Callithrix jacchus: one gene and its partners. The protein of the gene in region 5 interacts with the protein of the main gene of each other region in a pairwise test. Links are inferred from orthologs where the notes say so. Each region holds a gene or a part of one and is shown on either strand. Other genes may lie near its edges.

Evidence for each region.
Region 1: the proteins of CCHCR1 (region 5) and SMARCE1 interact in binary tests that used the Homo sapiens proteins (3 or more experiments, as listed by UniProt). The link is inferred for Callithrix jacchus from reciprocal best matches to the Homo sapiens genes CCHCR1 and SMARCE1.
Region 2: the proteins of CCHCR1 (region 5) and MIA2 interact in binary tests that used the Homo sapiens proteins (3 or more experiments, as listed by UniProt). The link is inferred for Callithrix jacchus from reciprocal best matches to the Homo sapiens genes CCHCR1 and MIA2.
Region 3: the proteins of CCHCR1 (region 5) and NUP62 interact in binary tests that used the Homo sapiens proteins (3 or more experiments, as listed by UniProt). The link is inferred for Callithrix jacchus from reciprocal best matches to the Homo sapiens genes CCHCR1 and NUP62.
Region 4: the proteins of CCHCR1 (region 5) and NDEL1 interact in binary tests that used the Homo sapiens proteins (3 or more experiments, as listed by UniProt). The link is inferred for Callithrix jacchus from reciprocal best matches to the Homo sapiens genes CCHCR1 and NDEL1.
Region 6: the proteins of CCHCR1 (region 5) and CCDC136 interact in binary tests that used the Homo sapiens proteins (3 or more experiments, as listed by UniProt). The link is inferred for Callithrix jacchus from reciprocal best matches to the Homo sapiens genes CCHCR1 and CCDC136.
Region 7: the proteins of CCHCR1 (region 5) and RBM17 interact in binary tests that used the Homo sapiens proteins (3 or more experiments, as listed by UniProt). The link is inferred for Callithrix jacchus from reciprocal best matches to the Homo sapiens genes CCHCR1 and RBM17.

Annotation. Positions count from the first base shown.
Region 1 is NC_133506.1:92,613,396-92,617,695, reverse strand, and holds the start of SMARCE1 (SWI/SNF-related matrix-associated actin-dependent regulator of chromatin subfamily E member 1), read right to left. Parts: upstream 2,801-4,300; 5' UTR 1-2,800. Other genes in the region: keratin-like protein KRT222, read right to left, coding at 3,303-3,531. UniProt on the Homo sapiens protein: Involved in transcriptional activation and repression of select genes by chromatin remodeling (alteration of DNA-nucleosome topology).
Region 2 is NC_133509.1:73,965,949-73,969,448, forward strand, and holds part of MIA2 (melanoma inhibitory activity protein 2), read left to right. Parts: intron 1-1,340; coding exon 1,341-1,387; intron 1,388-2,149; coding exon 2,150-2,240; intron 2,241-3,500. UniProt on the Homo sapiens protein: Plays a role in the transport of cargos that are too large to fit into COPII-coated vesicles and require specific mechanisms to be incorporated into membrane-bound carriers and exported from the endoplasmic reticulum.
Region 3 is NC_133523.1:43,702,823-43,706,836, forward strand, and holds the start of NUP62 (nuclear pore glycoprotein p62), read right to left. Parts: upstream 2,801-4,014; 5' UTR 2,644-2,800; exon of another isoform or gene 2,512-2,643; intron 2,354-2,511; exon of another isoform or gene 2,162-2,353; intron 1,215-2,161; 5' UTR 1,147-1,214; exon of another isoform or gene 1,103-1,146; intron 182-1,102; exon of another isoform or gene 46-181; intron 1-45. UniProt on the Homo sapiens protein: Essential component of the nuclear pore complex. The N-terminal is probably involved in nucleocytoplasmic transport.
Region 4 is NC_133506.1:74,958,185-74,962,250, reverse strand, and holds the start of NDEL1 (nuclear distribution protein nudE-like 1), read right to left. Parts: upstream 2,801-4,066; 5' UTR 2,654-2,800; intron 2,447-2,653; exon of another isoform or gene 2,048-2,446; intron 1,947-2,047; 5' UTR 1,827-1,946; intron 1-1,826. UniProt on the Homo sapiens protein: Required for organization of the cellular microtubule array and microtubule anchoring at the centrosome. May regulate microtubule organization at least in part by targeting the microtubule severing protein KATNA1 to the centrosome.
Region 5 is NC_133505.1:35,967,947-35,971,446, forward strand, and holds part of CCHCR1 (coiled-coil alpha-helical rod protein 1), read right to left. Parts: intron 3,071-3,500; coding exon 2,960-3,070; intron 2,852-2,959; coding exon 2,745-2,851; intron 167-2,744; coding exon 54-166; intron 1-53. UniProt on the Homo sapiens protein: May be a regulator of keratinocyte proliferation or differentiation.
Region 6 is NC_133512.1:118,372,540-118,376,039, reverse strand, and holds part of CCDC136 (coiled-coil domain-containing protein 136), read left to right. Parts: intron 1-1,693; coding exon 1,694-1,888; intron 1,889-2,387; coding exon 2,388-2,615; intron 2,616-3,500. UniProt on the Homo sapiens protein: May play a role in acrosome formation in spermatogenesis and in fertilization.
Region 7 is NC_133508.1:7,706,231-7,710,491, forward strand, and holds the start of RBM17 (splicing factor 45), read right to left. Parts: upstream 2,801-4,261; 5' UTR 2,665-2,800; intron 1-2,664. UniProt on the Homo sapiens protein: Splice factor that binds to the single-stranded 3'AG at the exon/intron border and promotes its utilization in the second catalytic step. Involved in the regulation of alternative splicing and the utilization of cryptic splice sites.

The DNA of each region.
Region 1 (4,300 bases), on a different chromosome or scaffold from region 5:
AATGCTGGGATTATAGGCATCAGCCGCTGTGCCTGGCATACAGAATATTTTAGTACTTTAAAAGCTATCATGACAGAACAGTTCAAACTGGGTGAGACTTATTGGGAAAGAATTGCTTTTCTGGCAGTAATTGAAAAATTAAAAATAGTATCTTGTCCGGGCACAGTGGCTCATGCCTGTAACCCTAGCACCTTGGGAGGCTGAGGTGGGCAGATCACCTGAGGTCAGGAGTTGGAGATGAGCCAGGCCAACATGGTGAAACTCCATTTCTACCAAAAATACAAAAATAAGCTGGGCATGGTGGCATATGCCTATAATCCCAGCTACTGTGGAGACTGAGGCAGGAGAATCGCTTGAACCTACAATGGGCCGAGATCATGCCACTGCACTCCAGCCTGGGTGACAGAGTGAGACTCAGTCTCAAAACAAGCAAACAAACAACCCCAAAAACCAAAATAGTATCTTTACCCGTTGTGTTTTGAATTATTACTTAATCATTGTCAGCTATAATTTTCCCCACAAATTCTCTGAAGACAGTTTTCTTCCAAATAGTACTGTGTATCTGAGCAGTGCTTTACCAAATATTTTTGCTTGTATATTATTTCAAAGAATTGTAAAATAGGCAGAGTAGGAATTATTACCCAGCATTACCTTTTCCTTTGTTTTCAAATGTAAAACTTGAGACGTAGGAACTTAAAGTAGTCCCTCCTGGTTACAGGGTTAATTAGTGACAGAGCCAGGGCTAGGATCCTACAGTTGTTAGTAATTGGAATAACTCTTCAGTTTTGTATTTTGTTATGCAAGCATGCATTTGTAACATTTCCAAGCGATTCAAGAATATTAATTTCTACTCTTGTATAAACCAAGGATAATATTATTCATGTTGTAGGATTGTTGTAAGGAAGGATTAGGGATTCAACACAGTGACTGCAGCTGAGTAAGTACTTTGCAAATGGTGCTGCCATTATTATACTTTTCCCAGAATTATAGGATTATGTGATTATTTTGATTAAAAAAAATTAGAATAAAATATAAATATACCATTTTAATACTTTCTTTTGTAAAACAAGTTAAAAACCATTATCTATCTACTGTGATTGCAGGTTTTTTAATTCCCCAAATGAACTAACCATATTGGAGTAATTAGTTCTTTGCTTCACTTAACCATGCAGAGATACTTTGAACTTAAAGGACTGTGTTCAAACTCACATACAATGCAGCTTTAGCATTCATGTTTCAATTTTTTCAATTTTTCATTTTTATTTATTTTTACCTTTTATAGAGATGGAGTCTTGCTATATTGCCCAGGCTGGCCTTGAACTCCTGGGCTCAAGCGATCCTCCTGCATTGGCCTCCCAAAGTGCTGGGATTACAGGCATGAGGCACTGTGCCTGGTCGTGTTTTGCTTTTTTAAATTGTGTTAGTATCATTACCTTGGTAAATTCATATCCCAATTTAAATGCCTCAGAGTGAATAAAACTTCGTTATAAATTCAAGAACTGTATTTTTAAATGTACATGTTATATACCCCATAGATACATACTGAAATCACTACAAGCAGTTACATTCATGACACCCAGTACTAAGTTTTTTTTAACACTGAAATACATGATGCTAGATATATTGCTTTATTATGATCACTGCTGCTTCGTACAGTAACTTTAGTACAATAGCTTATATGATTGCATTTTTAAAGCTTTAATAAAGCTAGTAGCATTTAGCAATATTGAATGAAACATTTTTTCATGTATAGGATGTATTTTAGGTCAAATGCTTATGCAAGAATAAGCACTTAACATGCTGTTATATCCTTGACAAAACAAAATCATCCCTTTTCATTAAATAGAATAAGCCAGACTAAAAGGAATCTGAAGTAATTGAAAGAAAATTAAAAATTTTTATCCCTGTATTATGTTAAATATTAAAATAATATAATATTTTCCTGGTTAAATCATATATTTTTTCTGGTTGAAATACATATATATATGTACATATATGTATATATGTACAGAGAGAGAGAGAGATTTTAAAGGCTGCAAAGGCTGTACTAAAATGCAAACATAGCTGGAGCCCTTAGATGATACTTTAGCTGGGAAAAAGTATGGTGAGTTGTACTCAACTACTTTTTCTGCTTAGAAAAAAATTAAGAGCTTATACATTTCTAATGTCTTAAAACAGGTATTTATTATTTAAGATCTTAAATATACCTGTATTAAATTAGGTTATTTTAAAAACTTTGCAACAATACCTCACTTATTCACAAATATATTTTCTACCCATATTTATTACAATTTGAACAATTTAAAAACAAATCCTGCAAACACTCTTAGCTTAGATAACAATTACTGTTATCTTAGTTCACATGAATGATTGCAAGAAATATTTATAATACTTTATATAGTATCTTATCTAAGGCTGATAGCAAACACTCTAATCACATTTGGCTGTACAGGTGGAAAAACCGGGATGGCGGGTAACTGTTCTGATAATGATAGTAACTACCTTTTCAATTTGCTTTTCATATTTTGTTTGTACAGTTGGCCTTCTGATTTTTGTCTTTTTTTGGTGGGGGATACAACCTTTAAAGTTCTTTGAGTAAAGTAAATCTTCTGGAAATCAGATACTTATTTAAAAAACATTTAGATATGTATAGATTAACTTAATTTTACTTATCCAGTTAGCCTTGGGGTGTGTTCAATAGTTTGCTCAGAATTTCTCATGGAAAATAACTCTTATTTTTCTGAGTATATAAATGATTTTCTAAAAAGGAAGAATTCTCGTTAAGTGAATAGTGAGTCCCCCTTAAAAAACTTGTTTATAATTGCTGTTTTTGAAAAATAGAACAAACATTGTAGGTTTAACTAGTCATGGAATAATGATGAATAACTCAGTGTGACTCTTAACATAATACAATCTTACTCAAACAATTCTTTTTTCCTTAGAGTGTTCAGCCGTTGAAAAAAATTACAAAGACTTTACTAAACCAGGTTAATGCTTACAGTCTCTGATGAAGTTTCAAGGGAAAAAGAAGACTATTTGGAAAATAAGAAATAGACTGTACTGAATTTGTGATTTTATTTTTAAGCTACCCCCTCATTTATATATATATATATATGTATATCTCCATAATTAGATTCAGAGAAATGTCCTTAACTGTTTTTTTTCTTCTGAAGAGAACCACATATTGATCATAACCTTTTCCATACATACTTAATAACTTACATTTTGGGACAAAGGGAGTCGGTGTGGCCCACCTTGGACCATCCTAACATTTTCAAATCAAGTCAAATACTATCTTTGGATTAATCAGCTGTCGATGGAGGTTTGATAGAGGGAATACTGCATGATCGTCTCATGATAAGCCTGACTTCTATATCTGGTAGATTATCCTGCTTAGTCTGTAAACACCCTTCATCGGTGGCTGCTAAATGAAGATCAAATCGAAGAGAAACAGATTTTTTCCTCAATCGAGGGTTATCTTTAAAGAAAGAACCTTCCCATTCTTTAATAACTTCATCCACTTTCTCTGTCCTGAAATGATAAAATAAACCTTTTAATATAAAGAAGTATGGGTCTATTAAAAATATATAATATGTATTTCATATCTATGAAAAAATCAAGAAATTTGTATAATTTATAGTTTGTAGAATTTTTTTTTTTGAGACGGAGTTTCGCTCTTGTTACCCAGGCTGGAGTGCAATGGCGTGGTCTTGGCTCACCTCAACCTCCGCCTCCTGGGTTCGGGCAATTCTCCTGCCTCAGCCTCCTGAGTAGCTGGGACTACAGGCGCGCACCACTATGCCCGGCTAATTTTTGTATTTTTATTAGAGACGGGGTTTCACCATGTTGACCAGGATGGTCTTGATCTCTTGACCTCATGATCCACCCGCCTCGGCCTCCCAAAGTGCTGGGATTACAGGCGTGAGCCACCGCGCACGGCAGTTTGTAGAATTTATAATATACTTACTTTGAAGTTCATATGAATAGAATTTCCAAGGAATTGTATGGAATTTCTCTGTAGGAATTCTCATGTTCAGGTTGTATTTTTAGAAAAAAATGGCGAATTAAGGATTAAGTAATCTTCCATGAGTTTTTATGTATATATGTCAGATTAAAAATCACAGTAAAAGCTGGGCATGGTGACTCACACCTGTAATTCCAGCACTTTGGGAGGCTGAGGTGGGTGGATCACAAGGTGAGGAGATTGAGATCAGGCTGGCCAACATGGTGAAAGCCCATCTCTACTAAAAATGCAAGAAAAAAAAAGAAAGAGAAAAAATTACTGGGCAGGGTGGCACAT
Region 2 (3,500 bases), on a different chromosome or scaffold from region 5:
TATGCTTTTACTTTGGCATGTTCTGTCTGTCTGCAACACACTGTCTTTTCTCACCATCCTGTATAGTTAACTTTAGCAGGAGTACTGCCTTTTCAGTAAGTCTTTCTCCAACTGCTCAGACACACAACCTCCCCACTCTGTTTCCTTTGTATATATTATACATATCTTTCTTAGAGCAATTTTCAAAATTATAGTATAATCATTTCAATGCCTGTTTTCCCCTGTACTGTAAGCTAATCAAATGGATGAGTGACTAGTTTGAAAAATGAATGTTCTGTAAATGAATACTTCAGGATATTTCCTTTGCTTTTGTCAGAGGTTCAGATGGTTACACTACTTTTAATCTTAGGCATCCAGATTGTTATTGCCATTGCTGGTTGTGCTCTAAAGTTGGCAAAAGTTAGTTTCACCATAGCCACTTTGTATTCTCACACCAATTCCTTTGACCTAAAAAAAACTTTTTATTTTGAAATACGGCTTCATAGGAAGTCTGAAAACTAGTGCAGAGGTTCCATGTACCCCTCTCTCATTTGACCCCAGTGGTAGTTCTTCAGACTTTTATGTCATTTTTCTGTTTGCTTCCCTAGCCCCCGTATAAGTAACACATTTATTAAGGAGGAAAAAGTGTGATTCAAAATTTTTTTCATAACATTAATATATTAGAAAAAATTACATCCCTAAAATAAATATATAAAGTTCTGTTTGTACTTTTTTTTGGAGACGGAGTTTCACTCTTGTTACCCAGGCTGGAGTGCAATGGTGCGATCTCGGCTCACTGCAACTTCTGCCTCCTGGGTTCAGGCAGTTCTCCTGCCTCAGCCTCCTGAGTAGCTGGGATTACAGGCACGTGCCACCATGCCCAGCTAATTTTTTTTGTGTTTTTAGTAGAGATGGGGTTTCACAATGTTGACCAGGATGGTCTCAGGGATATACTTTTTAATGTCTACTTCATTATGTATAAAATAATCCTTTCCCTCATGCTTGTTTAATGTTATTTTAACTTGGGTTATAATTTTACTCATATTTTGGATGCTGTAAGAATCCAAGAATAGTTAACAATTGTGGCCTATATTTAGATGAATATTGAATCCTTGCTATAACTCTGCTCTTGGAGTTGGAGCTGAAGAACCTTGTTAAATGGTATGGCATTTCAGTGCTTTTATTGTTTAGCTTCCTGGGAGCAGGTCCAAGGCCATTCTGCTTTATACCAAATTGTTTATTGTAGCAAGAAGAGGGATTATACGTCTCTGGTTGAGTGAACTGATAAAATTATTTGGATGTCTTTTGTCGTATTGTACTACTTTCCCAAATCATTGTTGTGCTTTTGATTTTCACTGTAGATAATCCTCCAAAAGGAGCTTTGAAGAAACTGATTCATGCTGCTAAGGTTTGTGTTATTACATAAATGTAAAGAATAGGGAGGAAGAAAGAGAACATGGTTTAAACTCATATCTCCTTAGTAACTGTTTAAAAAGTCCATTTTATGTTCCCAAAGAAATATATTCAATAAATGATCAGAATTTTTGTCATCAATTGCTTTTTACTTTTAATTATTAACTTTATAAATTTATATAATTTTTAGAATTTATCAAAATAAAAAATTCCAAGTTCTATACTCATTTTTTCAGATATGAATATATTTAAAATGTTTTTTGTATTTTGTCTTGTACTTCCCTCGATCATTCTTTTTTCTTCTAGTCGAAATATTTTCTCACCCCTTCTGCCCTATATCCTATTTTGAGAAGTAAATACTAGGTTTCTTTTTTTCTGGTTTATTTCTTCTCTTTTCCACCCTAGTGGAGGTTTCCTAATTTTTGCTGATCTATATGAAGTCTTGGTAATGTAGTTTGAAGGCTGCTTTAATTAAAACTTTTGTTGAAAGTAAATAGAATGAAAATAGTCACTTTTTAAGCATCCAGTGAAAAGCATTCACTACTTTTCTCTATCCCTTGTTCTGAGACTTAACAAGTATTAATGATTTTGCTGGTTTTTTAAGATGGAAGATGCATTATTGGTTTCTGTATTCCAGGTGATAATTCATCAAAATGATAAAATAACTTAAAAAGTGTTGGGGGTGTTATAATGAGGTTTTTTTTTTTTTTTTCTGTATAACTGATTAATGTTCCTTTTTTCCTTCTCTTCTTTAAAGTTAAATGCTTCTTTAAAAACCTTAGAAGGAGAAAGAAACCAAATATATATTCAGTTATCTGATGTTGATAAGACAAAGGAAGAGCTTACAGGTAGGTCATCTACATACATACTTTTAATGTTTTTCTAAGTACTTCTCCTTTTAGAGAATGGTAAAAATTAATTGAATAAATTTTGGGAAGATCCAATTTGATTTTTTTTTTAACTTTTGTTCCTTTTGGGTATTGTGAAACATTAGTCCTGATTTTAGTTGTCATTGCTAAAGGCATACCAATTTCCTCTACATTTATGTGAAATTAGTGAATTTTTTAGAAAAACATGTAAAACCATATTTATCTTTGAATATATTACACTGTTATGTGTTTGGTATGGTTTTAAATGTTAAAAAGTAGCAAATTGAAACTTGATGTTGAAAGTCTTTGTTAATTGAAAAATTGATCTTTCAACTTTAATGTTGAAAGTCTTTGTTAATTGAAAAATTGATCTTCAGTAGTGGTACTACTTGCAGTATGATTCAGTCCTTTAATGTACATACATAGTATATTAGCACATGCGAGAGTGATGTTAGACTTGTAGAAATGAAGTTTTTGTTTTAATTGAAAACATTTATGTTTATTTTGCAGATAGTGTTTGTATTTTCAAAAAGTAAACAAGTTCTGTCAATATGTTTGAAAAGTTTTAAAGTTGGGATAAATAGCATCTCATTTTGTACAAATAAAAATTAAAAAAATTTACCATATACATTTGCATCAAAAAAGACCAGAAGGACATACTCAAATGTCAGTAGTGATTATCTCTGAATATGGGATTGTGGACAGATTTTTATATTCTTTTCACTTACCTGTATTTTCAAAAACTTCTACAGTAAGTGAACTGTATTTATAATACTATTTTAAAAGATTGAACCACCAAAGATAGAGGTTATTAAAAATTATCATATCCCTGGCTGGGTGCAGTGGCTCATGCCTGTAATCCCAGCACTTTGGGAGGCTGAGGCAGGCAGATCACCTGAGGTCGGGAGTTCGAGACCGGCCTGTCCAACATGAGAAACCCCATCTCTACTAAAAATATAAAAATTAGCCAGATGTGGCAGTGGGCGCCTGTAATCCCAGCTACTCAAGAGGCTGAGGCAGAATCGCTTGAACTTGAGGTGAAGGTTGCAGTGAGCTGAGATTGCGCCATTACACTCCAGCCTGGGCAACAAGAGCAAAACTGTCTCAAAAAAAAAAAAAAAAAAATGGTTGTATCCTACTCACATGATTTTAGTAATTGGATTATTTTTGGATTTTAAGAAACATTAGTATTAGTTTAAGAGAGTATATAAAGCATTGTACTAAAAGTCATGGGAGATT
Region 3 (4,014 bases), on a different chromosome or scaffold from region 5:
TCGGCAGGGGTGGGGGGTGGGTATGGCACAAGCGTGCCTTCTTACCACTGCCAGTCGGTCCAACAGTCTACCCTTAATTCCATCTGCATTTGCTCAAAAACCTGTACTGAGAAGTGGAAGGAAGTTGGTCCCGAAATCTCCTTTGTAAATTGGATGACCAGTCATAGTTTGAAAGCACTTACTGCACAGGAACAGAAAGAGAACACATCCACCTTAATTACAGCAATACAGTAACCAGCTTTTACGCAGCACCTACTGTGTACCAGGCAGTCTTTAAACCTCGTAACAGCCTTAAGAGGTAGGAAATGTTTTTGAGACAGGGTGTCACTCTGTCCTGAAGGTTGGAGTCTGGTGGCCCAATCTCGGCTCACTGCAACCTCTGCCCCTCCCCAGGGTTCAAGTGATCTTCCTGCCTTAGCCTCCCGAGTAGCTGGGACCACAGGCGCAAAATACCACACCCAGCCATTTTTTTATATTTCTGGTAGAGATGGGGTTTCACCAAGTTACCGAGGCTGGTCAATTTCTGACCTCAAGCAATCTGCCCAGAATGCTGGGATTACAGGTGTGAGCCACTGCACCTGGTCCAGCAGCAGGCACTCTTAATGCCACTTTGTACTAAAGGGGAAACTGAGGCACAGGGAAGGGAAATGACTAGGGCCGCACAGCTAATAAGTGGGGTGCAGTTAGGTTTTGAACTCATATAATCTGGCTCCAGAGTCTACGCCAGGGATGGATACTCTTTTGGCTTCCTGGGCCCACACTAAAATTGTCTTGGGCCACACATAAAATACACTAACAATAGCTGATGAGCAACAGATAAATAAATACAACTGCAAAAAAATCTGCATAATGTTTTAAGAACGTTCTGGGCTACATGTGGACCCCCGGATGGGACAAGCTTAGTCTGTGCTCTGAGCTGCTAGGTTACATACTGCATAGGTGATAACACAGCCCCTCAGCCAAAGGAAATACAGGACAAGTGCTCAGAAACTGGGAGAGTGGACAGTAAGTGCTCCAAGAGAAGGTGGTCAGATCCCGAGAAGGACTTCCTGCCTGCCACAGGGAAGGGAGGACAAAGAAGTTTGTGTGTAACGCTCAATACCAGGGTTCCTACACCTTCTCTGGACCCTGATTCACTCTCTTAACTGCCACAGAAGAGATGAAGGTTGAACTCCAGCTGGGATGTCCTGATGTGGATTGGACAAGGTGGCTTTCTGCAACAGAGAAAAGACCAACATCCACTTCAGCTGGCGGAGGGCCCAGTGCAGGAGAAGGGGCAAGATGGCTACCCTGTCTTTGACTAAAGGAAAACGGAGATCTTCCATTTTTGGCAGGCTTGGGAGACAGCTCCTATCCAGTGGAGGCTAAGAAAGCCTGTCTGAAAGGAAGCCAAGGCAAGGGATGGAGAAAAGAACGAAGCTGGGGCCTCGATGCATGAATCCCTGCCAGGGGATGGGGCCTGGGCACCCATCCTTTGGAATGGGAGGTGAGGACGGCTGGAAGTGGACACTTTGGAGGAATGAGGGAGACAGAAGAATGACCCACCAGCAGGTGTTGGACAGTCCAACGCCTGCGGCTCTTGCAAGCAGGGAGGAAGAAGTGAGACTGGGCCCCAGAGTATCTATTAATAATAAAATATGGCTGCGCACGGTACTTCACGCTTGTAGCCCCAGCACTTTGGGAGGCCGAGGCAGGTGGATCACAAGGTCAAGAGATAGAGACCATCCTGGGCAACCTGGTGAAACCCCGTCTCTATTAAAAACACAAAAATTAGCCCGGAGTGGTGGCTCGTGCCTGCAGTCTCAGCTACTCGATAGGCTGAGGGCAGAAGAATCACCTGAACCTTAAAGGGGGAGGCTGCAGTGAGCCGAGACTGTGCCACTGCACTCCAGCCTGGGTGACAAAGCGACACTCTTTTCTCAAAAAAAAAAAAAAAAAAAATGTTGAACAGGAATGTATGAGTTGAACTCTGGGCATAAAGCTTGGCGGACACATTGTCTTGAGTCTCATAAATCCGCTACGAGAGTTGATTTTCTTATTTTGCAGACAGGGAAACGAGGTGAGGGAACTTATTTGCCCGAGGCCACCCTGGCAGGTCTGCGTTGCGGAGGGGGCTGTGACTCATGCTGGACTCTAACCCACGAGGGTTCTAAGGGTCAGCAGTTGGGGGATGGAGATGAAAAGTGTGGCTGGCAGGAAATTCTGGAAGCAGGGAAAGGGAAATTAATCGGTGCGAGTCTGCGGGAAGGGAATGAAGCAGGCCCAGACCTCAGAGGCAGAAAGAGAAACCAGAGCCTAGAGTCAGGAGGAAAAACCAGACCTCGGAGCCACAAGCAGGAGAGGGCCCGATCCTGTGAGTGGGAAGCAGGGAGTCGGATCCTCTGATCCCCACGAGGAGGGGACCGGGCTGCCTCCCGCTTGGGGCCGCGCGAGGGCGGGGCGCGGAAGGATCCGGGAGGGCCGTACTGCGCCACCCCGGGTATATCTATCCCCAGTCCCCGGGGCCGCCTCATTCCCCGACCTCAGTTCACAGTCTTCTCACTAAGCGTCGCCTCCTCCGCCCGCGTAGCCCCGGCCATGGCTCTGTAGCCGCGACCCCTTTGTGCCCCCAGCCCGTCTCCGCGCCTGCGCTCTCCGTCCCACCTTCTTTCTTCAGCCGAGGCCACCGCTGCCTCTTCCTGCCGCAGCCATGGAGTGAGTAACCGCTCGCCTCTCCTTGTCCAACCGCCTTTCCCGCGCTTTCGCAGCTCGTGGCCCTCTTTAGGAAGCCCTGGGGGTGGGGAACCACGAGCGGAGAATCACGGTCGCGCAGGCGCGGAAGAGGGACGGTGGGCCGAGGGCGCGCGGGTGCGCATGCGCACTGGGCCCGGGGCCGGGTGGGAGAGTTCTAGACTTGGTGTTTGTCAGCCCGCGTGCGGCTGCGGCTGCGCATTCCAGGGAAGGGTGTGCTTTTTTCTAAACGATTCTGTGCGTGCTTGGTTGCTCTTGCGCAGTAGCCCACTAGTGCCCCGTATGAATGAGCGGCGGGTCCTGTGCGGCGTCACACACGCGCATTGATCCCCAGGAGGGCGGCGGTGTAAAAGCAATTGGACCGCTCCGGCGGCGGAGCATGCACTTTGGCCCTCGGGGGCAAAGCCATGTGTAGACGGGGCGTTCGGGTAGCCATTCTCTGCCAATCCCCTCTACCCTCCTCCACCTCTCCGGCTCCACGTTGCTCTGACTCACAGCACAGCTTTCTTTTATTTCAACTAGGCACCTGCTGAGGCGGGGACTCACGTAGATTGACAGGGCAGAAGGCGGGGCTTAGAGGAACCCCTTTAAACGGGTGGAACCAGAACCACGTCGTCACGATGGGTGGGACTTAGGGAGTTCATTATGAGAAGGGGCGGGGCCAAGGCAACCATTAGCTGAGGGATGGGACAAAGAGGCGGGGCCTCTAAGGAATCGGGGGCGGAGCTAAACAATGAGGGGCGGGGCTTGGAGGGGCAGTGGGAAGGCGAGGCGTGGGATTTGAGTGGATAACATTAAAAGGCTGGGATCTGGGACGGTTACCCTGGGAACTGATTTGGGATGGAAACTAGGAAGGCAGTGGGGCCAAAAGGAAATATTTTAGAGGAAGGGGCGTGGCTGGAAGAAAATGTCCCTAGGATTGAGTTTTTCTATGAAGCGAAATATTCTGAGGTGGATGGGAGGGGCCTAAGGTAATTCCCCCGGGACACCCTTAGGTTCCGTATTGGGGGAAGAGGTGGGGCATCGGTCCTATAAAGCGAGTTCCTTGGTGGTGTGTGGGGCTCAGAGATTTGGGGAAAGAAAGGACAAATTTAGTATTCGGAGAGGGCGAGGCTTAGTCCTAAACCCTGGTTTGAAGGGGGAGGAAGGAACCCCATGGACGTACCTGGGGCTGTGGCTTGGCTTCCCTATGAATTTTGGCTGGTGGGCGAGGCTGTTCCTGACCCCACCCACTCTTGTCTCACGCGTGTAGGTCTTCCACTTTCGCCTTGGTGCCCGTCTTCG
Region 4 (4,066 bases), on a different chromosome or scaffold from region 5:
CAAAGCAAAAACTTCTTACTTTGTGGTCACACCTCATTTGTAATTGCTTCCTAACTGGTATTATCCAGCTCCATTACCCTACTTTTTATCTATGAGATTTACCCTTTTCAAAAATCAGATTCTGGCCAGGCATAGTGGCTCGGGCATATAATACCAGCACTTTGGGAGGCTGAGATGGGAATGTCACTTGAGTCTAGGAGTTCAATACCAGCCTGGACAACAAGCCGAAACTCCATCTCTAACAAAAATGAGCTGGGCGTGGTGGCACGCACCTTGTGGTCTCAGTTACTCATGAGAGTGAGGTGAGAGGATCACTTGAGTCTAGATAGTTGAGGCTGCAGTAAGCCATAGTCGTGCCACTGCACTCCAGGGTGACAAAATGAGACCCTGTCTCCAAAAAAGTAAAAATAAAAATCAGATTCTTTACAAATAGCAAAATTTGCTACCACTGCAGCTACTCAAAAGACAGTTTCAAGGACTGTTTTACAGTCTGTTCAGTTTGCTTCAAGTAACATTGGGAGGATGTGTTCACTGTGTTATTTGAAACTACGTAACTAGAGATATTCAGGCTATAGACAGTTAGCTAATATAGAAAACATATTGCTAAAACAATGTTCTAATGGTACATTCACAATTTTCTGAAACTAGAATGAAGACGGATAATTATGTATTATTCTCACCTGCCCCCACCCCATATTTAATACCAGGTCTCAATACCAACAGTCTCAAAAGCATGACAGTTTTTACAAAAAGCATTACCATACTGTGTATGACCTTCAGAAATCTAGCAACAATCAACTCATTTGGGTTTAAAACAGCCTGTCCAAAACGCCTTTTATTTACAAGGAATTACTCTTTGCACAATGGTAAGATAATCTATTTTAAATAATATTGTTGCTTGTTAACAGTTGTAAAATGGACTAGTGAGGTTGGAAGAGTTCTTCCAAAACTGACTGTTGGTAACACATGCCTTTTTACTGAAATTCTACTACTCGCAAAGGTGACATTTACAGAATTTTTAACTCCTCAAAGTTGATCATAAACATGGTCTCTCTGATTTTATCAGACTATTTTTTTTATGGAGTGTTTAGAAACTTACGTCAGAAGCAGTTTTAAGCTTTAGTAACCAAATTTATCTCAGCATGGTTTACAATGAAAATAAAAATAAATTGTTTTGCGGATGTCATGAAAGCAAGACCTAGGTTTTACTAAGGTTCCTACTTATTTTAAGCTCCTTATCCAACTTCAATTTATTTAATTTTAAAAATCCAGCCTGGTCGACAGAGCAAGACTCCGTCTCCCCCCCCCACCCCACCAAAAAAAAAAATCAAAAGAACTACAGCTTCAGAAGATTTAGCAACTTCTATCTGGATCAAGTCAACCTCTAACCAGGACTGGCCAAAGATTTTCTTTGTTCCTCATACATTCAAATTTTAAATAACAATAATCTTAATAATTCAGAAGATATATCTCTTAGTTTCCCTTTACTTCTCTTCAGCCCATGACTTAACGCTGCATTGTGCCCATCAGCTTCATGATTTAGCAAAGCCATTACCCTAGCTTTTAAGCACATTAAGTGCAACACAATTTATCAGACAAAATAATTAACCAGCAACTCCTGAACAAGCTTCACAGTAAGATTTTTCTCATGACTGAGCAGCAGTTTTTATCCTAGGTGAGTTTGCTCAAAAATAAAATCTGGCATATCTTGGCAAGTCACATTTTCTGCCTTGTTTTCTAGCTGAGAAGGATATAAAAATCCCACGAAAAGAAACCAGAACTCCGAGCCTAGAAATGTAAATTACGATCCAAGCTAAGCCACTCACCAGTTGGTTGTATAAATCAATTACCCCATCCCAGCTGAATGTCTCTATCCAAATGGCGATAACATAATCAGTTGCAACCACCAGGTGATGCGGTTCAAAAGAAATAGGAAGAAGAGTGTTCTGAAACGTGTAAAAGCGCTACGTAAATAGAAGGTAATCGTCAGTAGTGATAGAACTCTAGCTTCCTCTGCAAAACTTAAAAGGGTCATCTCGTGGCTTACAGAAAGAAAAGAGGCGAGCACAAGTAACCCGAGCCCGTAGGTGACACTTTCCCGACTCCAAGGGGAGGATGATTAGCAGTTCGGGGCGGAAGTCAGGGGAATGCCAATCCGAGCCCAACGTGGGCTGCTCGCGCTCTCGCCTCCCATGGGAAAGAGGCTCTGAGAGAATAAAATCCAACCCGGCTCCAAGCCACCCTCGCAACTGAAGGAATTTCGGGGAGAGGAGAGGAGGAGGGCTGAGCGCGCCGCTGCCACCTCCGACTGGGCCACTCCTTGCGCCGCCAGCGCCCGGGCTCAAGGTGCCACGTCCTGGCCTCCGTCACCGCCATCCCTCACCCCACCCCGGAACGGGGCACATCCTCCAGAGACCGCAGGGCTCGTTCTCTTGCAGGCGCCCCTGGGATGCCAACGTAGGAACAGGGAAGGAAGGGGACAGTTAGAGCGGTTGGAACAGTTGCCCCGGGCTACCCGCCCCAGAACCCCGCCGGGTCCGCCCCGGCGGAGCGTCAGACACGGCCCCGGGCCGGGCAGGCTCCCCAAGGGCAGGCCTTTGCGCCGCCAGCCCGGCGCAGCCCCTTAGGGAGTGGCCCTGCGCTGCAAGCTCACCTCCAATGTGTCAAAAGCGCATGTTCGCCGCCGCTCGACCGACGTCTCCGCTCCGCTGGCTTGGCCAGGCCCACCCAGCCTCTCAGCTCGGCTCCCCTCCGCAGCCCCGAGCTCCACTCCGCGCACCTCCGCGCCCGGCTCCTCCCCGACACGTCAGGGCTGCCTGGGTGTCCGAGGCCATTCTGTGACGCACGGAGGTGGGGCTCGGAGCATGCGCGGCAGCCCGCTGGTGGGAAGGGGGGCGGGGAAGGGCTGGTGTCACAGGGGGCGGGCCAGAATCCGGCGCGCTGACGTCAAATTGAAGGCGTCCTTTTGCGCAGGCGCCCCTGGACCCCACGACCCGCTGCCTTAGGCTTCTCCGGTTCCCAAACTGCTATTCCGGAGAGTGGCACCAAGACAGATGGGATCCTGCCTTTAGTTTTACGGCCACCAAGGCCCTTCAAGTGTCCATGTGTCAGTGTTCCCGTTTATAAAATGAATCTCGGCTCATAGTTCACCTTGGATTACATTCCCCCTGCCGAACACCCAGTGGAACACTAGGAGCATTCTATTCACTCTTCACCACGCTCACAAAGCTCTGTGTTGTTTTTACAGCACTTCCACTGCTTAAATTTTATACTTGTTCTTGTCTTCCTCCAGTAGAATTTTAAGTTTTATTAGAGCTAGAACCTCTTATGCCTTGCTCATCCCAACAAATAACTTGATTCTAGGCAAAGTGGACGCTCAGATATTTGATGAATGAATGAATGGATTCGTTGGCACCAAGAGGATTTCATATCTGCCCGTTTATATATTGTATATATCTGATCATACATTCATTTTTATATACATCCGTGTATTTGTGTGACTTTCTCCCCTCCAGGGCCCCCAAGAAATGGAGACCTACATATCTTTTATATATTTAAAATATATATACCTCTTACAATCCATCTTGCATTATTAATGTTTATATATGTTTTAGTATGTAAACACACGTACGTGTGTGTGTGTGTGTATACGTGTGTATTTCCTAATGGACTTGGAAGGAGGCTGGAGGAGATAGTGCAAAACAAAAAGAGGGATACGCAACTTACATAGAGAGTGGAAACTTAATGGAAGAGATACATTTTTAAAACAAGTTTAAGAACTTTTGCTGTATAATGTACGATGTAATCTTTCCTTTTGTATTTTAGAGGCAGGGTCTACTATGTTGCCCAGGCTGGTCAAGAACTCCTGACTTCAGCTCACACCTGTACCAGCACTTTGAGAGGCCGAGGCAGGTGAATCACTTGAAGCCAGGAGTTCGAGACCAGACTGGCCAACATGATGAAACCCCGCATCTACTAAAAGTGCAAAAATGAGCTGGGCATGGTGGCAGGCACCTGTAATCCCAACTACTCAGGAGGCTGAGGCAGGAGAATTGCTTGAACTCAG
Region 5 (3,500 bases):
AGTCTGAGCTGGTGGGGCAGGAGCAGGATGTGGCTCGCAGTCGCCCTACGCACCCCGAATGGTGTGGACCTTGCGGACAGCATAGCTGAGTCGGTTGCTGAGGCTGGGAAGCTGGGCAGCAGCCTGTTCCACCTTGGCCATGGTGCTCTCGAGCCAGATCTGAGAGCTGGAGAGGGCACAGGTCACTGACCCTCCATGCCTCCCTCATTCCCAAAGGACTTGCTGTGTCTTGTATAGACAATTCCCTTTATCCTATCCTGTTATACAAGTAAAGAATGCACAGCTTCTGTCAATTTTCTAAAGGGTCCTTGCCCCAAGAATGCATTAAATGACTGTATCTTTTCAAGCAAACTGTTAAGGTTATTTCTTACAACCTGTGTTTTGCACACTATTATGCATCAAAGATCAAAGTCATCCTCTTTGGCAGGGGTGGGGGCTCCCGCCTGTAATCCCAGCACTTTGGGAGGCTGAGGCAGGAGGATCATGTTAAGTCAGGAATTGGAGACCAGCCTGGCCAACATGGTGAAACTCTGTCTCTACTAAAAATACAAAAGTTAGCTGGGCATGGTGGTGTGCGCCTGTAATCCCAGCTATTCGGGAGGCTGAAGCACTTGACTCTGGGAGGTAGAGGTTACAGTGAGTCAAGATTGCACCCCTGCACTCAAACCTATGTGACAGAGCAAGACTCTGTCTCAAAAAAACAAAACAAAGTTATCCTCTCCAACAAGCCCAGGGTGTCGATCCTCTAGCACCAATGATGGGCAGGTCCACGTGCTTTACCAGCTTTTACCAGCTGGCTGTGCCAAAAGCAGGACCAACCTGGCTCACGAAAACCGAGCAGCTTAAACAGACCGTGGGAGGAGGCCAAGGGAGTGTCTAGGGCCCGGCTGGGGTTTCCTCACAGAGTTCAGGTCTGCATCCACAGAAAAACACATGATGACGAAGGCTGGCAGTTGTATTCCCAGCAGCACAGCAAAGATCACTTTGATCTGGAAATTGAATAGCTTCCAACACCTACCACAGCTCTTATTAAAGCCATTTTCTAATGAAGTCTCCAATTACCTAGAGACAATCTAATAAACCCAGAAACAATCCAAGTTTGGACTGCTTTAAGCCTGGAGGACTTTTGGCAGTGCATCATTACACACAACCACTTCTGTGATCTCATGGTACCAAAGTCAAACCCTGTCCACAGAACATGTTTCTGTTCTGGAGATAGGAGGCACATGCAACGGATTGAACCTGGGTGGCAGGTCATCATAACTAGTCTAATTCTGTGCATGTTTGAAATTTTTCAATAATTTTTTAAGCTGAATCAGTTCCCAAGGTACAAATCCAAGAGAAGGAAGTGGTGGGCAAGAACTCATCCTGCATCTTAATTTCACTAAACCAAAAATTATCTTTATCTCAATTATCTAACCCATAAAGAAGAGCCTCAAAGATAACAGTAAACATGCACAAGCCAGACACTGTGCTAAGAACTGCCTGCCTTGGGCATCTCAATGTCTAAGGCTGAGGGGAAGTCATCACCAGCACAAAGAAGCTTTGCTGTTTCCTTAGAGGTTTTTCTGAAGGTCACAGAACAATTGTTGGTAATGAAACAGCTAGGCAGTTGGTATGAGAGACAAAGGCTGGCAATTGATTTAGAAGGAAACTAACTGGCTTACATTTTAGAGGGAATATCTAGTAACCAAGTAAGTACAAAGCTTTAAATAAATAGACTAAGCCGGGCACAGTGGCTCACACCTATAATTCCAGCACTTTGGGAGCCAGAAGTAGGTGGATCATCTGAGTTCAGGAGTTCAAGACCAGCCTGGTCAATATGGTGAAACCCTGTCTCTACCAAAAATACAAAAATTAGGCCAGGCACGGTGGCTCATGCCTGTAATCACTTTGGGAGGCCAAGGTGGGTGGACTGCCTGAGCTCAGGAGTTTGAGACTAGCCTGGGCAAGATGGTGAAACCCCATCTCTACTAAAATACGAAAAAAAAGAAAAAAAAAGAAAATTAGCTGGGCATGGTGGAATATGCCTGTAGTCCCAGCTACTCAGGCAACTGAGGCAGGGGAATTGCTTGAACCCGGGAGATGGAGGTTGCAGTGAGCCGAGATCATGCCACTGCATTCCAGCCTTGGTGATAGAGCAACTCTCCAACTCCAAAAAAAATCAGCTGGGCACGGTGCTGGGCGCCTGTAGTCTCAAGCTACTCAGGAGGCTGAGGCAGGAGAATCACTTGAACCTGGGAGGCGGAGGTTGCAGTGAGCTGAGATTGCACCACTGCACTCCAGCCTGCATGATAGAGCGAAACTCTGTCTCAAAATAAGTAAATAAATAAATAGACTAAATTTTTCTGCAGTGAAACAGGGAATGCCTGTAAAATTTTAGAGAAGGAAAGGAATATGACGAAGTGTCCACACTCTCCATCCTTGAACAATGCTGCAAGTGAAGATCCTCCCAGGTGCTCTATGTAGCTCAAGCTATTACTAGACTGAACTGCAGGAGGAAGTAAGGTCTCACCTCCAGCCCAACATGCAATGGGGAATTCATAACAAGTAATCAGGTATGAATGCAGAGGGGGCTGCCCCAGGAAAAGAAACAAACACAGGAACTTTGATAGGGCTAAATGTGCCCAGCGCTGTAGCCTCCTGTAGCCTCCAGTGGCCAGCTTTCCAGCCCCTCTTGTCTGAGGCTCCAGAAAACTGAAGTGGCAGAAACAGTATTCCATCCACCCCTCCATCCCTGATACCTGCTGACAGCATCGACCACAAGCCTCAGCTGTTCCTCGGCTGAGGCTGTCTGCTGCTGCCACCAGCGCCTGGCCTCATGAGCACGGCTCAGCTCCAACTGCAAGGCCTGGGGAGAATGCAGCAAAGGACAGGGTCTCTCCCTGAGTCCTGGGTGCAGCCCCAGACAAGGGGCTCCCTTGCCCTCCCAGAGTCTCTACTGGGCTTAGACACCAACCTTGGCACCCATCCGCTCCACCTCTGCCTCTGCGGCTTTGTCCTGCAGGGATTGCTGCAGGATGGCCTGCTCCTGGCTCTGGGCTGTCACTTGTTCCTGGAGTGAGGCCACCTGGGAGAGGAGAGGGAGCTGGGCAAGGCCTTCTAGAGCTAAAAGCTGAGGGGAGCACTGGAAGCAAAGTGGCAGGTACAGAGATCTCTGCAAGAATGCCATGCAGGGGCCAGGCGAGGTGGCTCATGCCTGTAATCCCAGCACTTTGAAAGGCTGTGGCAGATGAATCACTTGAGTTCAAGAGCAGCCTGGACAACATGGTGAAACCCCATCTCTACAAAAAATAGAAAAATTAGCTGGGTGTGGTGGTACCTGCCTGTAGACCCAGCTTCTCAGGAGGCTGAGGCAGAAGAATCACTTGAACCCAGGAGGTGGAGGTTGCAGTGAGCTGAGATTACGCCACTGTACTCCAGCCTGGGTGACAGAGAGAGTCTCCTTCTCAAAAGAAAAAGAAAGAAAAGAGAAAGAAAGAATGCCACGCAGGAGACCG
Region 6 (3,500 bases), on a different chromosome or scaffold from region 5:
GTAGGATCAGTATATTTGGATCCCAGTCTGAACATCTGAAGGTTTTACACAGATATGATATTTCTACATCTGTGGTATTAGCACTGTAGTGATAGCTAGTCATTCGTGGAGAAGAACATATACATGGGCCCATATACACAACCAGAGAGAGGAGCTAGTTTTCTGGGGCAGATTGCAAATGCTTTTAAAAGGGGGTATGGTCTTGTGCCCAGAGTGCTGATTGGGCAAAAGAAGGACATAGGCTCTTCTAGGATTTATTCTGTCACTTCAAAGTAGTTAAATTCTTTTTTCTTTTTCTTTTTTTTTTTTTTGAGATGGAGTTCCACCCTGTCACCCAGGCTGAAGTGCAGTGTCACGATCTCAGCTCACTGCAACCTCTGCCTTTCTGGGTTCAAGCAATTCTCCTTTCTCAGCCTCCTGAGTAGCTGGGACTACAGGCACATGCCACCATGCCTGGCTAATTTTTGAATTTTTAGTTGAGACAGGGTTTTGCCATGTTGGTCAGGCTGGTCTCAAACTCCCGACCTCAGGCCTCCGACTCCCAAGGTGCTGGGATTACAGGCATGAGCTACCGAGCCTTGCCAGTAATTAAATTCCTGAAGGTTGAATTGTGCCCTCTTTACATGGAAGAGAATACTACTCTCATCTCACTTCCTTTTAGTAATAAATTCTGGTAGTGATAAAAAAAAGGCCTTATTTATTTTTTCTTTTCTGTAGTGTATAAAGTGCAAGCCATTATCATTTATCCTGTTGAGCACTTTCAGTTCCTGATTACTGATGGGAAGCCTGTTGGAGAAGAGACCCAAAAGTCTCTAAAGATGGTGGAGCTGGTCACATTCTGCCAGAAAACTCAGTAGTTCCTGTCCCTGGGGAGAGGCCTTCAAGCGACAGAGGATTGGGAAAGTTATTTGGGCCACCTCAACAGTCTCTTTGCCTTGTTATATCCAGGCTCATGTTTCTTCCTTTCTCCACTTCTACTCAATTTAGGAGCCCAGGGGATCTGTGACTTGCTCATCACCTCTTCCCCTAATGGAAAAAACAATGGGAAAGGAGATGCATGCTGGCAGACAGCACCTGCTTTTTCTCTAGCCATAAAACAGCATTGAGATCTGTCTGATATTGGAAGATTTGGGTTTTTGGAAATAGGATGATTTTGGATGATTTAGTCTTCTCAACCCAAATTGAGCAATAGCTCATACTTTTCTAAAGATTTAAGGAGAGAATCAGGAAAGCAAAAATTGGAAAAATTAGGGTAAAATTAAGTCCTTATTAGTAAGGATTGTAATTATATTAAAAAAACCACTGGGGTTAATAGAATAACAGGAGCTAGAGTTCCCGACAGGAGGGAAGTATGATATACACACCACAGGAAAGGGCCGGAGAAGAGGAAGGGGGAAATGAGGAGGAAGGGTTATCGATAGCAGGCCCTATCAAACTGCCCCCAGAAAGGAATGGTAGAAGTTTAGAGCATGGCCAGCTACCAGTCTAAAACAGCCTGCTCTGAAAGAGTAGCCTGCTGGGGCTCCCCAGTTGGCATCTAAACAGCCAGGGTGTGATGTGGCTTGGGGTGACCCATCCAAGGTGACTGCACAGGGAGAGAATCGCAAGAGGCAGGAGAGCACAGAAGTGCTAGCCCCCCAGGAAGCTTACCTTACAGAGTAACCAGCTGCTCCACACCCGCCCCTGCCCACAGTGTGACACACTGCTGTCCAGACTGACAGAATTGCAGGAAAAGTACAAGGCCAGCCAGAAGGAGATCGGGCAGCTACAGATGGAGCAGTGTGAGCTCCTGGAGGATCAGAGGAGGTTGCAGGAGGAGCAGGGCCAGCTGCAGGAAGAGCTGCACAGGCTCACACTGCCACTGCCCAAGAGTGGCCTCTTACTCAAGGTAACTCCACTAGAGGCAGCTGCTTACTGTGGGGAAGCTGCTCTGAGAAGCTTCCCTGTGTGACCAGGGAAACATAAAAGGATGGGGATTGAACTTTTTCTTCTCTTTACCAACCACTCCTTACTTTCTCACCACTCTCCCCAAACCAAAAAGCTCGACAGAGCCAATTAGAGTTTTCTTATAAGACCTTCAAATCTTAAAATACCTTTTTACACTCTGGAATCTGTGCAGCAGTTTATATTTAGCTATTTAGTCCGTCTGGAGAAAATGCACCTGAAAGCACTTTGTAAACTACAAAATATATTCCAACGTAAGAGATCATTACTACTTTTATCAGGCCTCCATAGAAAGGCCCCCTGTCCCCCGATGGGCTCTGTGAAGCCAATCCAGAGATTCTTCAGGGAAATGTTCACGACGGGAATGAGGCACCAGGGAGGCATCAGACTTCCTTGTGGTAACCACCACAATCCCTTGCCTCCTTCCTTCTACTTCGCCTCAGAGTCAGGAGCTACTCACCAAGTTAGAAGACCTGTGGGAACTGCAGCTGCTCTACCAAGGCATGCAGGAGGAACAGAAGAAGCTGATACAGAACCAAGACTTCGTATTGAAAGAACAATTAGAGCTATATGAAGAGCTGCAACATTTCAAAGAATCTCATTTCCAGGAAGTGTTGGAGAATCCAGATGATTCCAAATTGGCTAAGTCCTCAAAATGTGATCGAAACAAGGTAACCATAGTAAGAGCTAGGGAGACAGTTCTCCTGAGCACAACAGCATGGCAGGGAGAGTGGGCACAGCCAAAGGGTCAGAGTTGGGAAGGCCTATTTGACCATGGGTAAGGATAAGGGTAAAGTTCTACCCTTCACCAGCTGTGACCACTCATAGGCTCCATTAAGAGGTGGCTTTTAGATACGGCCAAAGGACCTCACCTAGATGCCATTATCTTTTGTCACATTTATATTCACAGTGCTTAGCTGAAGCACTGTGAGCACTCAGGGCAGAGCTGGGATGACCCAAAGTCTGTAATCTGATCATTTGACTCATTCCCAGTAAGATGTATAGTATCAGTTTGGTGTTTGTTTGGATTCCTTTGGACTGACTCTAAACATGTCATCTTTTTTTTTTGAGTAGAAAAGTACACTTCTCAGTTATCGAAATCTATCACCTTTGGTGTTCTATATGAGGCAAATTTGGTTCCTTTCATTTACAAAAGAAGAATTCCTAGCATATGAGGTTCTTAGTACTGACCACAGTATCTTTATTGGAACTTTGGTGGCAATAACAGAGCAAGATCACAGGGGTTAGACCAGAAAATCAATGCCTCTCAAGTACCAGCAAGGGGTCATGCAGATGAGGTGACACAGGTGGAGATCACCATACAATTCTATTCAGGGGTGGGGGATAAAGTTGTTCTGAGGTCTCAGCGTGGGCAAGGAAGGGCAGGTAGACAGTTTCGATTTAGGCTGAATCTACTCATTCAGATCTTAGCCGAACGAGGAGAACAGGGAGTAGCAAAAGTCAACGTGAGGCTGGATCATATTCCAGGGGCATCAGATGTCCAGGCTGGAGGCCTGGGTAACACAGAGCTGGGAACCAGGTATAAAATATTTCCT
Region 7 (4,261 bases), on a different chromosome or scaffold from region 5:
TAGCTTAGCACCATGCTTGAACATTGCAAGTGGCTCTATTAATATTTTCTAAACATGTTAGTGAATGGATGGAAAATGTTAATGCACCTATTTAAATCACAATCTGCTTTTTTTTTTCAGACAGAGTTTTGCTCTTGTTGCCCAGGGTAGAGTATGATGTTGCAATCTTGGCTCACTGCAACCACCATTTCTCCTGCCTCAGCATCTCAAGTAGCTGGGATTAGATGCATGTACCACCACACTTGGCTAATTTTGTATTTTTAGTAGAGTTGGGGTTTCTCCATGTTGGTCAGGCTGGTCTCAAACTTCCGACCTCAGGTAATCCATCCACCTTGGCCTCCCAAAGTGCTGGGATTACAGGCGTGAACCACAGCACCTGGCCACTGCAGATCTGCTTTTTGAGGACATAACTTAAGATAAGTAGGATAAAATTTAAGTTGTAAGCCATAATTAAGGAGAGAAAAACTACCACCACCACACAACCAATAGTAGGTCAAGGTCTGAGTTCTGAGCACCTAAAGAAGCAGGCGTGTTAGGAAGAAATATTTCTATTACTAAATAGATATTCATGCATCATAAAACAAAGCATACCTCTTTGAAACCTAAGGAATATGGTAAGACTGGGCGAGGTGGCTCGCACCTGTAATCCCAGCACTTTGGGAGCCCAAGGCGGAAGGATCACCTGAGGTCAGGATTCGAGACCAGTCTAGCCAATATGGTGAAACCCCATCTCAACTAAAAACACAAAAATTAAGCTGAGCGTGATGCCGAGCGCCTGTAATCCCAGCTACTCAAGGCCGAGGCAGAGAATCATTGAATCCGGAAGCGGAGGTTGCAGTGAGCCAGTTGCGCCGCTGCACTCCAGCCTGGACCATACAGTAAGACTCCGTCTCAGGAGAAACAAAAAAGAATATGGCAAATACACACAGAAAGGAACAGGAGGGGTGGTGCACTTTGATGTCCACAAAAAATACGGCAAAAAAGGCATCTACCTCATGTATAAGATCTACCATAACTTTCTAAAGAACTGAAAAAAATTTTCCCCATACCTTCATCTGCCCTTGACAGTTTAATCTTTCCATTCATTCTCACAGTCTGCTACTCTCAAAATGCCATCGGGTAGAATTGCAAACACAGTCCAATAGAGTCACCTATAATTTAGGAGCGTAACAGAACATTCTTCACTATTGACTATGATGGAAGGCTTGAGAGATGACTAACCTGGGATCATCTGCTCCCTGCTGCGGGGAGGTCTGAAAAACTCATATGCAGAGGAGAATGAAGGTAATTTAAAACAAACCAGGTAAAAAGAAATCCACTTTAAATAAAGCTGCATTTGGGAGTGTACAACAATCCTCTCAAGAGCCTCCAGAAAGGCTGTCTTTGGTTCCGCAGAGGTCCACGATCGCACAACCTGCTGTTACAAACTGGACAGCACGCAGCACCTTGCCTAACTAACTCTAAAAATAAAGCCCTCTCGTTTAGCTCATAAATTGTTACCCCATCATCCCTAAAAGCTGTCATTACGATCAAAATGTCTGCAGCCTTTACCAACTAGAAATCTGGAAACTGAGTTGCATCCTTTAAAAACTCCATCTGTTGCAGGGAGCCAGTGCTCATGTACCCGTCTATTTGAGTATATGCGTATCCTGCCCTGATCTAGAATATCCTATTTTCCATCCATATGCCAGGCTCTAGCAATAAGGATCCTCAATGGCGCTCCTTTGCTGCTCCTCAAGAAACCTCCATGTTCTGACCGGACGACTCCTCGAAACACAGCACCCCCTCCTGAAACCTTCCTCTCTGCCTCACCTGCAGCTTCCAGAACGCACTACGGCGCTTCACTTCTGCTACTTTCGCCGTGACTTCCTCCGCCAGGAGCCTTTTTTCCCACCTCGCACATCTAACAAAGTACCTTCAAGACTCAACATAAGCATCACCTCCTCTCTCAAGATCTCGCGTCCTTCACCAAACCGAGCCTGGGTTTCCACGCCTGCTTTCCCAGAAACCAAACTCCTGCAAGCAAGGGCAGAACCTCGCTCCACCTGCATTCTCATCATTTCCCATCCTCTGGGCAATAGGTGAAGCTCAAGGACTGCCTGGGGTCGGAAGTGCGCGCTGAAACACCGCTCAAACGGCACGATCCGAGGCGACGCCGGGGTCCGGGCTGCCTTCCCGTCTCGGGGAGCTCCGGAGTCTGGGAAACGCCAACGTCTGCACTCCCAGTTCTGAGAGCCGGGGAAGAATCGGCTCCTTTCTCTGAGCCCGGGAGAGAGGCAACTGTGCGGGGCCAGGTTGGGGGACACGCTCCGGGTCTAGGGACCGGGCAACTTCGTCAGGACGTGGTGCACGAAGTGGAGGCGAAACGCTCTTCAGGGCCGAAGAGCCCGAGGCAGACAGGAGGAGGAGGGGAAGAGGGAGCAGGCCAGAGCCCGGGTCACCCGAGGCGGCGGCGGGCGGAGTGTACCGGGCCACCGCCGAGCGGAGAGGCCAGGGCCCGCTGCGGGGACTGAGACCCGCGGAGGCTCGGGTTGAGATGGCCCGGCCCCCACCCCTCGCGACGCGGCCTAAAGCCGCGGCCTCGCGTCCAGCGCTTCCCGGGAAGGCGCGCCCGCTTCGGGTCCCGCCAGGCCGCCCCCCTGGGGCCGCCAGGGCGCGACTTACCCGGCCCGCCCAGCCGACTCTGCCCATGGGCCGCGGCGGCGGCAGCGCGGAGCCGGGCGGCACTCCGCGGAAACCCGCCGGCGGCAGGAGCCCTTGGCGGCGCCCACCCTTCGCTGAGTCCTCAGGGCGCTCGGCTGCGCGGGGTCAGAGAGCGCGGGCTGCCGGGAGAGCGCGCCGCGCCTGCGCCTGCGCCTGCGCCTGCGCCTAGGCCTGCTTTGGCCTCTGCGCCTGCGCCGAGGGCTCCTTGCCGCACTGCCCCCTGCCCGCGGGAGGACCGCACTGCACGCTCCCCTCAGCAGGCGTCCTCTTCTACCACCAAGAGGTGTCGCCTGGGTGCACGTTTTCGAAATTCCACAAAGTTTGAGGAACGCGCGGCAGCGCCCCCAGATGGTAAGAAGGAGAAGTGGTCCGAGGCCGCGCTTTCTGATTGGGGGAGGTGGGGGAGTGAGTGTCTCCAGGTCTCTCGATCTCATTCATTCAAAAGCAAAAAGTTGAAAATAAATCTGCATAGCCGAGATGCTGGCAAAAGGATGGCAAGGAGCACGGGGTTGAGCATAAGATTAAGGAAACAGATGCCGCGATTGGGGTACAGAAAAGAATGTCAATGCTATAAAGCCTCGATCTTTAACAACAACGTCGCTGACAGAAGTAGGGAGGGGAAGGGAACGTGGGACTTCGGGAAAATGTGATTTTTACATCTGTAATTGGGTGTCAAATAGAGTTCAAGCCGATAAGTCAAATAGTAGAGATTTAAGCAGACGTCTTAGTCCGAAGGAATATACCAAGATACTATAATCCATTAAAATCCAGTGATTAAGAAAATGAGAAATGAGAGGAAAAAAAGAAATAGAATGGAGAGGCAAAAGAAAACCAAAGAAATAGAGGATTAAGGACGTCATGGGATGGCATAATTCTGAGGGCGACGCAGAGCAAAACTACAAATCTTTCAAATAATACACACACACACACACAACCACAGCAAAACAAACAAAGCAACGTAGGGAAATATTTGAAAAAGTTACAAAACAGAAAGCATAACCAAACTATATGACAGAACAAGACCAAATGTCTCACAGGAAGAAATATAGACCTAAGCTTAGCTATTAAAAAAAGGCTCAGATTGGAACACAAACCATCGTGCAACTAAATGTTGTATAAAAGAAAGTGCTGGCCGGGCAAAGTGGCTCACGCCTCTAATCTCAGCACTTTGGGAGGCCGAGGCAGACAGATCACCAGGTCAGGAATTCGAGAGCGGCCTGGCCGACATGGTGAAACCCCAACTCTACTAAAAATACAAAAAATTAGCTGGGCGTGGTGGCGTATGCCTGTGATCCCAGCTACTCGGGAGGCTGAGGCAGGAGAATTGCTTGAACCTGTAGGTGGAGGTTGCAGTGAGCCGAGATCACACCAGTGCACTCCAGCCTTGAAAGAAACTCTGTCTCAAAAAAAAAAAAATAAAGAAAGTGCTGAAGCAAAGTTATTCTGAGTTTGAAAATACAAGACTGGAAAGGATATGCCAAGGAATATGCAAAAAATAAACAAAAATCAGGAATCACAAATAACTTAAGGTTGATTTCAGGGCAAAAAGCATTAAGTA